2 linked regions of the Cricetulus griseus genome follow. The protein of the gene in region 1 interacts with the protein of each later gene in a pairwise test. Links are inferred from orthologs where the notes say so. Each region holds a gene or a part of one and is shown on either strand. Other genes may lie near its edges.

What was found.
Region 2: the proteins of Ndor1 (region 1) and Ciapin1 interact in binary tests that used the Homo sapiens proteins (3 or more experiments, as listed by UniProt). The two-hybrid records come from large-scale screens. The link is inferred for Cricetulus griseus from reciprocal best matches to the Homo sapiens genes NDOR1 and CIAPIN1.

Annotation. Positions count from the first base shown.
Region 1 is NC_048599.1:136,606,687-136,610,972, reverse strand, and holds the start of Ndor1 (NADPH-dependent diflavin oxidoreductase 1), read left to right. Parts: upstream 1-1,486; 5' UTR 1,487-1,545; coding exon 1,546-1,680; intron 1,681-1,959; coding exon 1,960-2,037; intron 2,038-4,286. Other genes in the region: Tmem203 (transmembrane protein 203), read right to left, coding at 793-1,203. UniProt on the Homo sapiens protein: NADPH-dependent reductase which is a central component of the cytosolic iron-sulfur (Fe-S) protein assembly (CIA) machinery.
Region 2 is NC_048596.1:171,047,156-171,050,655, forward strand, and holds part of Ciapin1 (anamorsin), read right to left. Parts: coding exon 3,376-3,500; intron 1,102-3,375; coding exon 1,028-1,101; intron 1-1,027. UniProt on the Homo sapiens protein: Component of the cytosolic iron-sulfur (Fe-S) protein assembly (CIA) machinery required for the maturation of extramitochondrial Fe-S proteins.

The sequences.
Region 1 (4,286 bases):
ATTCCATCTCAACAAATGATCTCATTTGGCACATGATTGACATAAAATCAAGACCTTAGGTCAATAAACTCAAGCTGTTCACAAGCTCTTATGTGTAAGTATCCATTTCCATGAGCATGTGAGCGCCTCTTCCTGTCTTTGGTCCCTTAGGGAGGTCTGTCTGTCACAGTGTATTAATGATGCCTGCCACAAGGTGGTGGGAAACTCCGTGAAACTGTAATCTGTTGGGCCAGGAAACCAAGCAATGTCTTGAGACCAGAGTTTTTTCTCAGATTGCAGATAAACACACTGGGTCCTATTCATGCTTTGTTTTCAACAGTCTGCTGTCTCTATGTGGGATGGAATGAAAAAAGGCTATTCTTCCCCAGGACAGAGAAAAGTGACGCAAGCTCTGTTAGATTATCAATTGTATAAAGAAGTCTGGCCTGGACCGATGGAGGGGTAAGCTCTGAGTGAACAAGCTGATTCATAAAGGGGTATATCACCATGGGAAATATTCAGAGCCTATCAGGATAGTTTACGTATATGCAGTTTCCAAATGTCATAAAAGTTCAGTATTGTCTGGCAACTCAGAGCATGAGTAACAGGAAATAACTTTTAATAATCGAGGCTTCACTTTTAAGTTTTGCTGAGGAAACAATCTTAGATATAGAGAAAACTGGACAGTAAACGGGGCACAAGCAGACACGGATTTCTGACCAAAGCTTCTCCAGTGTGGCGCCAAGTAGGGTCTGGACTGGATGACCCAGCACTCCAGCTGCGCAGTGCTCCATTCCCAGCCCCTGCACGAGGCTAGTTGACGCGACAAGCCCGGATCATGAGCAGCTGCAGGAGAATGAAGACCGGAGACGTGATCAGGCCGAACCAGAGCTCTCGAGTCTGCTCCACTAGCTTCTGGCACAGCAGCATCTCAAAGACAAACTTGAGGCTAAGCACTGTGAGAACCCAGAAGAGGCGCAGCACAGCTAGTCGCTTCTCCCCGTCTTGGAAGAGGCGAACAGACACGATGGTGGTGAAGTAGGTGCTGAGCCCGTCGGCGGCGAAAAACGGCACAAACACATTCCACCAGGAAAGGCCCGGGGCCAAGCCGTCCACTCGCAGTGCCAAAAGTACGGAGAACACCAACAGGGCCAGCAGGTGCACGAAGATCTCAAAGGTGGCGAAGCCCAGCCACTGCACCAGCTCCCGCAGCGAGAATAACATCGCGCCTGTTTAATACCGGCCGGAATCCGGCCGACGGCGCCTCGCACCGGGCCGTGCCCGCTTCGTCCGAGGGCCTGGCTACCGCCTGCTGCCGCCGCTGCACACGCGAGGCAGCAAGCGGTCCAGGCCGGCCTGGACCCCGGCCCCAGCGCACCGCCGCTCTCCAGACCTCGAACCCGGACCCGGAACTGGATGCTAGCGAACGCCCGCGGCCCAGAGCCAGCCCCGCCCACCCGCGCGCCCTCCCACCTCGCACTGGCGCAGCCTAAACACGTCATTTCCTGTTGACAGAGGAAAAGGGAAGTTAGTGGTGTGTACTGTTCTGGCCGGCGTGGTGCGGTGATGCAGGTTCCGCAGCTGCTTGTGCTTTTCGGCAGCCAGACTGGCACAGCCCAGGATGAAGCGGAGAGGCTGGGTCGCGAGGCCCGGCGCCGGCGGCTAGGTTGCCGCGTGCAGGCGCTCGACTCTTATGCGGTGGTGAGGCTCGGGTGATACGGCGGAGACCCTCCCCCGAACCTCGCGTCCTCGAACGGAGGGCGTTTGAGTGCTGCCCTACGGCCCAGGCAGATTTAGGGGAAAGGGGGCTTGGCACGAGGCTGAGGCCTGAAAAAGAGAAGGCCCGGTAGCCACTGGGAACAAGTCTTCAAACACTTTACTCTTGTTACCCTATCTGAATGGGGTGGGTTGGGAGCGATGCAGGGAGGGGACTGACCAGGGCTGTCAGTCCCTTACGCATACCCGTGTCTTGTCCTTGAGGCGAATCTCATTAGGGAGCCCCTGGTGGTATTTGTTTGTGCGACCACAGGCCAAGGAGACCCTCCTGACAACATGAAGGTAAGACTAGCCTTATTTGTACCCTCACCCCTTTTTCATTGCTGTGAGAGCCCCTGGGTGCACAGGAAATAGCTGGCCTTCAGTGCATGTTGTATATGAGAGGTAGCTTTGAGGGATATTCTTTGAGTGGATCTGGGAGAGAAATAGCTCTTAATAGACACTCAGTAGCCTTGATTTCTATTGTTTAGCCATTTTGTTTGTTCTCCCAGACCTACATGGGAATCTAGTCTGAGTCACGTGCTGAAGTTTAACGTTTTTAACATTCAGAAAACATTCTTTAATTTTTTTTCTCAAGCATATATATTCCTGGCACCATCTGGGACACAGCAGCCACGTTTCTCCTTCATGGAGCTCAGTGGTGAACACAGCAGGATTAATGGCCAGTTACCAGGAAAATACCAGATGCCAGATGTTCTGGGGGGGGGGTGGTCATGGAATAAGACACAGCTGTTTGGAAGAAAGGAGCACACCTTTAATCATAGCACTTGAGAGGCAGAGGGAACTCTGTGAGTTCTAGACGAGCCTGGTCTGTGTAGTGATGTCCATGTTAGCCTGACTACATAGTAAGATCCTGTCTCCAAAATAAATAAAAGCCAGGGGCAGGTGGTGGTAAGAAGCAAACTGAGTGAAGGACAGGAAGTTGAAGATTCCCCAGCCACAGACTGTGTTGGCAGAAAGAGGGAAGGAAGAAAGTTTCATTCAGAAGATCTGGGTGGCACAGTGAAACACCTGGGCTTCAGATGAAAGCTACAGAAACTATGGAAGTGACACAGTAGCCACCACAGTGTAGCAAAATCACCATCTGTCTGAAGGTGGCAGGAGTAATGCCAGGGAATGCACCACCACAAGTAAAAGGTGTTGATGTGGTCTGAGGTGGGTGGTGGCACAAGGCAGAATAAAACAGGCACATTCTAGAGAGGCCAGAAAGATAGAGTCATGAGAGGAATCTAGAATACGAGGAAGGACTGAATCACAACACAGCAAACAGGATACACTGTAGTTCCACCTGTGGAGTGAGTGGAATCTGGTTGTGCAGGGGCCAGGAGATAACCCAGGAACTACAGTTAGCTGTGTAGTACTAGAAGGGTCCTAGCATGAGAGTCACTGTTAAAGCAACCAAAATAAAATCATGAAAAAACAAAGCCCCTGTCTACTCCAGGACTGCCATCTAGCATGGTCATGGTCAGACAGGAGGAGTTTCCCCTTCCCTAGGTCAATGATAAGAAGGTGGGAGTCTTGAGAGGAGTAGCAGCCATCCGAGGTGAAGCAGAATAAAAACCAGTCTGGAGAGGTGTCCCTAGGGTCAGTGGTGATTGCTAAGGAGAGCAGTATATGTGGGATAGAGACTATAATCTCAAGCACTAGAGCTGGAGAAGCTAAAATAGAATGAGTTCAAGGCTGCCCTCACCTACATGACAAGTGTCTTAAAAGTTCAAAAAATATCAGCCAGATATGGTGGCATTCAGCCATAATCTCAGCATTCCAGAGGTTGAAGCTGAAGGACCATGAGTTTGAGGCCAGCTTCAAACTTGCCTCAAGCAAAACCACACTTTAAAAATAAATTAACTAAAAAAAAATACCTAAGAAAGTGCCAAGGAGGTGAAAGATAGAGATCTCCCTCAGGTTTGAGGTGTTCTGGTCTATGGACAGATAAGGTACCCAGCACCCTCACCTAAGAGTAGGAGTCAGTAGTGTCTGACTCAATCATAACAGGAACTGAAGACCTTTGAAGAAGCTACAGACCCAACGCCCAAAAACACATGCAAGGGCATGTTCTTGTAACAGATGGTCTGCTGAACAGGAAGGCCTTGGCCTCTCTGCCCTGATCTTTAAAACACATTGGAATTATAGGAAAAGATCCAGTAACTGGGTCTCTGCCTATCCCCTGCTGATGAAACCTGCTGTGGGACAGGCATGTCCTGGAGCTTTTTCATCAGCTTCCAAGTACAAATAGGTCACACACACACTCACACACACACACACACAGAGAGAGAGAGAGAGAGAGAGAGAGAGAGAGAGAGAGAGAATGAGTGAATGAATCTGCTAGAGTGAAGACCCCGGTGACAGGCAAGTAAAGGCACATAATGGAATGACAAGACTACAGCCCAAGATAGCGACCCCATCTTAGGAAGGGGCCTACTGAGGGCAAAGGGCAGTCACAGAGTATAGGGTTAACTACTGGGGAAGAGCAGCATGACCTGATGGCCAACAGGACAGAGGGCAACAATAGGTGCCACTGGCTTCTCAGC
Region 2 (3,500 bases), on another chromosome or scaffold:
TACACAAGGCAATGGCAAAGCTACACCCGCTGTGCAACTCTGCCATAGGCTGAAGAGAGCAATGGTCCATGGAAGACTCTGTGCGTGTGTGTGCTCATGTGTGTTCATGGTGAGGGTGGCAGCACGTGAAATGAAGAAAAGTGCTGTATTTATTTCAACATGTGAATAATCATGGGAATAAAGTCAAAGGAAGTAAAATATTTTCCATAAAATTCTAGAGGAATAAAAGTAAATAATTATAAATATAAAATAAGTATACATATATTTGAACTTTTTGGCAAATGTGAAAGCAGCTATACCTATAAATTCTGAGAGCAAGTGACTCTGCTTCTGACTCCTGAGTGCTACAACTAAAGGTGTTTGCCACAGCCCAGTTTAATTTTCTTATAGATATAGCAGATCAAAGGTGCAAACACTGAGTTTAAGACAGTGAGCATTCAATGACTTGCACTGAATTTCATTCAGTGAACATTCAAGTGCCTAGACAGAGGCCTTATCTCAGCTGACAAATTCTTTTCTGGTTTATGTCTACAAGAATCTACTATTTCATGTAAGGGGAAGACAAGAAAATCTGTAGAGGGGAAGAAAGATACTTTTTAAAAAATGCAAAATGCTACTAATATGGAATGTCCTAATAAAAGACACCAAAGTCAGGCACTGCTACATGCTGGGCCTTAAACTCACTCACACCTACAAACCTAAAAGGCCACTGTCAGGGAGCTGGAGACATGGCTCAGTGTTAAAAGTACTTTCTGCTCTTGCAGAGGATATGGGATTGGTTTCTAGTACCCACTCAGCTGCTGATAACTACCTGCAACTAGACTCCAGTTCCTAGGGATCCAACACCCTCTTCTGGGCTCCGAAGGCACCAGACATGCATATAGAGCACAAACAGACAGACACTCATACACATAAAATTAAACAAAACAAAACAAAACAAAAACTTTAAGGCCATTTCTCACTATAGCTGTTTACACTTAATTCTAGGTCTGAGAGGAACAGTCAAGTGACTACACAGCCAACTCACCATGCTGTCATCCTCCATGTCATTGGCTGAGAGGGTCCAGAGCTTGGCAGCAGCAGGATCCACAACAGGCTTCACTGAGTCCAACCATAAAAGAAAAAGAACTCTTTAAGCAGTCGGAAGCAAACCACAAGCAAGTCCCAGCAAGTGTGGAGACTAGAAGAGAATGACTGGACAGACTGAGAGGGTAGGCTCAACACTCAGCTCCACTATGAACAAAAGGCATAGCTCCACACAGTAAAATAGTCTGCATGCATCACATGTTTGCTTTGTGCTAGGCCTCCACCAGCGCTTCCATCATCTCACCTAGCCCTGCTAAGAACCCTGTGAGGTGCCTGCCATTCTAGTTTTATAGCTGTGGGTATATGAGGCTACAACCTCCATTCCTTGCCGCCTTTTCCTTGCTACCTGAGTTTACACCTCTGTAACATGGGTTATAGCACTCCCTCTGCCTACTGCAGGTATTTTAAGAATTAAATGAGAGAAGTAACAACAACTTCAAAAAAAACAACAAAGATTTAGCCTCACTTAAGCCTGTAATGTAAGAAAACAGACTCCAATGCTGTTGGTGGCCAGGTAAGTCAGTGACAGAACATTTTCCATCTGGGTCAGGACACCAGAAAGAAATCTATGAGCCTCAGGGCTGGGGATTTAGAGGGGCAAATCCTCAGTAAGGCCTTTTAGGTAAGCTCACAACCAGGATCATCACTGCCACAGCTGATGCTCAGAATGTCCACAAGGTCAACTGCTGATCTAAGCTGTCCCAACCCTCCAGGAACTGTGAAAACCAAGGTCCAAGTATTTTCTGAGGCCAGGGTTGAGAACATGGGCTTCTAATTACTGCCACTCAGAGGGCAGAGAAGTGAGGACCAGAAATTGAAGTCAAAGTACTTCAAGATTGAGGCTAGCCAGGTGGTAGTGGTGGCACACACCTTTAATCCCAGCACCTGAGAGGCAGAGGAAGGAGGATCTCTGTGAGTTCGAGGCCAGACTGGTCTATAGAATTAGTTCCAGGACAGCCAGGACTAAACAGAGAAACCCTGTCTTGAGAAATCAGAAGAAAAAGACTGAGGCTAGACAGCAAAAGAATGCAGTATAGATATGCCAGCAAACATCCGTTGAATCTATGCATTCCTCACAGCCAAGAAACAATTGGGACAAGAGAAAACTTTAATAGGAAGGATGAGAGATGAGTAACGTGTGCGTGCACACAAACATGCACACAATTTTTTGAGCAGAAGAAACACAGGTTTTGTTTTTAAGCATTTCAACAGGACGTATTCTGGAGGATGTCCATCAAAATCAATCCAACAAAGCTGTAATTACAGCTTTGACAGAAACATTAAAATAGCATCTGCAGCGGATTGTAGCAGCAAGGTACAATGATGCTTATGAAAGTGTCATGACAAAAACCACTTTTCTGTATCAATAAGTTGTGTATGAAAATGTTAATTTAAAAAGGTATGCTAAAATGGCCATAGCACATATAAAAAATTAAACACTAATTACATTTTTAAAATTCTGAAATATACAAAACATGCACAAATCAAACTAGCAAGCAATCATTAGAAATAAGTTTTGTGACTTTATAAGCATAGAGCCTGGCAGGGGTGGCACATGCCTTTAATCCTAGCACTCGGGAGGCAGAGGTGGGCAGATCTCTTTGAGTGACTTCAAGCCCAGCCTGGTCTACAAAGTAAGTTCCTGGGCAGCCAGGGCTACACAGAGAAACCCTATCTCAAAAAAAGGAGAGGAGAGAGAGTGGGAGAGAGAGAGGGAAAGAGGGAAGGCGGGAAGGGGAGAGGGAGAAGATAGACAGACAGACAGACAGACCCACCAACCCACCCCTACCCTCTGGAAACTGAACAAGGGAACCTGTGCACCATTACCACCATTGAAAGGTCTTCTGAGGATAAACCCATCCTCTCAGGGCCTGAAGAGACTTCATCAACTAAACAAGTGACTCAGGCATCCAAAACCTCAGTGCACTAGGAAATATCTACATATTGTTTCAGGTTTGGATACTAATATGTAAGCACTCTGCAATTTGCAAATGACAGAAATTAAGGGACTAGTTTAAGAATATTTAGATCATGGTTCAATTTCTTTTTAAAAAAAAAATACTTTATTTAACTTTATTTTATGTGCATTGGTGTAAGGATACTAGATTCCCTGGAACTGGAGTTACAGACAGTTGTGAGCTGCCATGTGGTTGCTGGGAATAGAACCCAGGTCCTCTGGAAGAGCAGCCAGTGCTCTTAACCAATGAGCTATCTCTCCAGCCCCCATGGTTCAATTTCTAACATGCTCCTCAGGCCCACCCACATAGAATGTCCCTAGGCTAGTCTTACCTGAAGACTTCTTGTTGCTGAAAATCTTAAGTTGGCTGGAAGAGCCCACTTCAAAGTTAGGCTTCTTGCCGGTGATACGAACTGAGAGCAGGCTGTCACTGTGGTAGCCCAGGTGTTCCTGGACA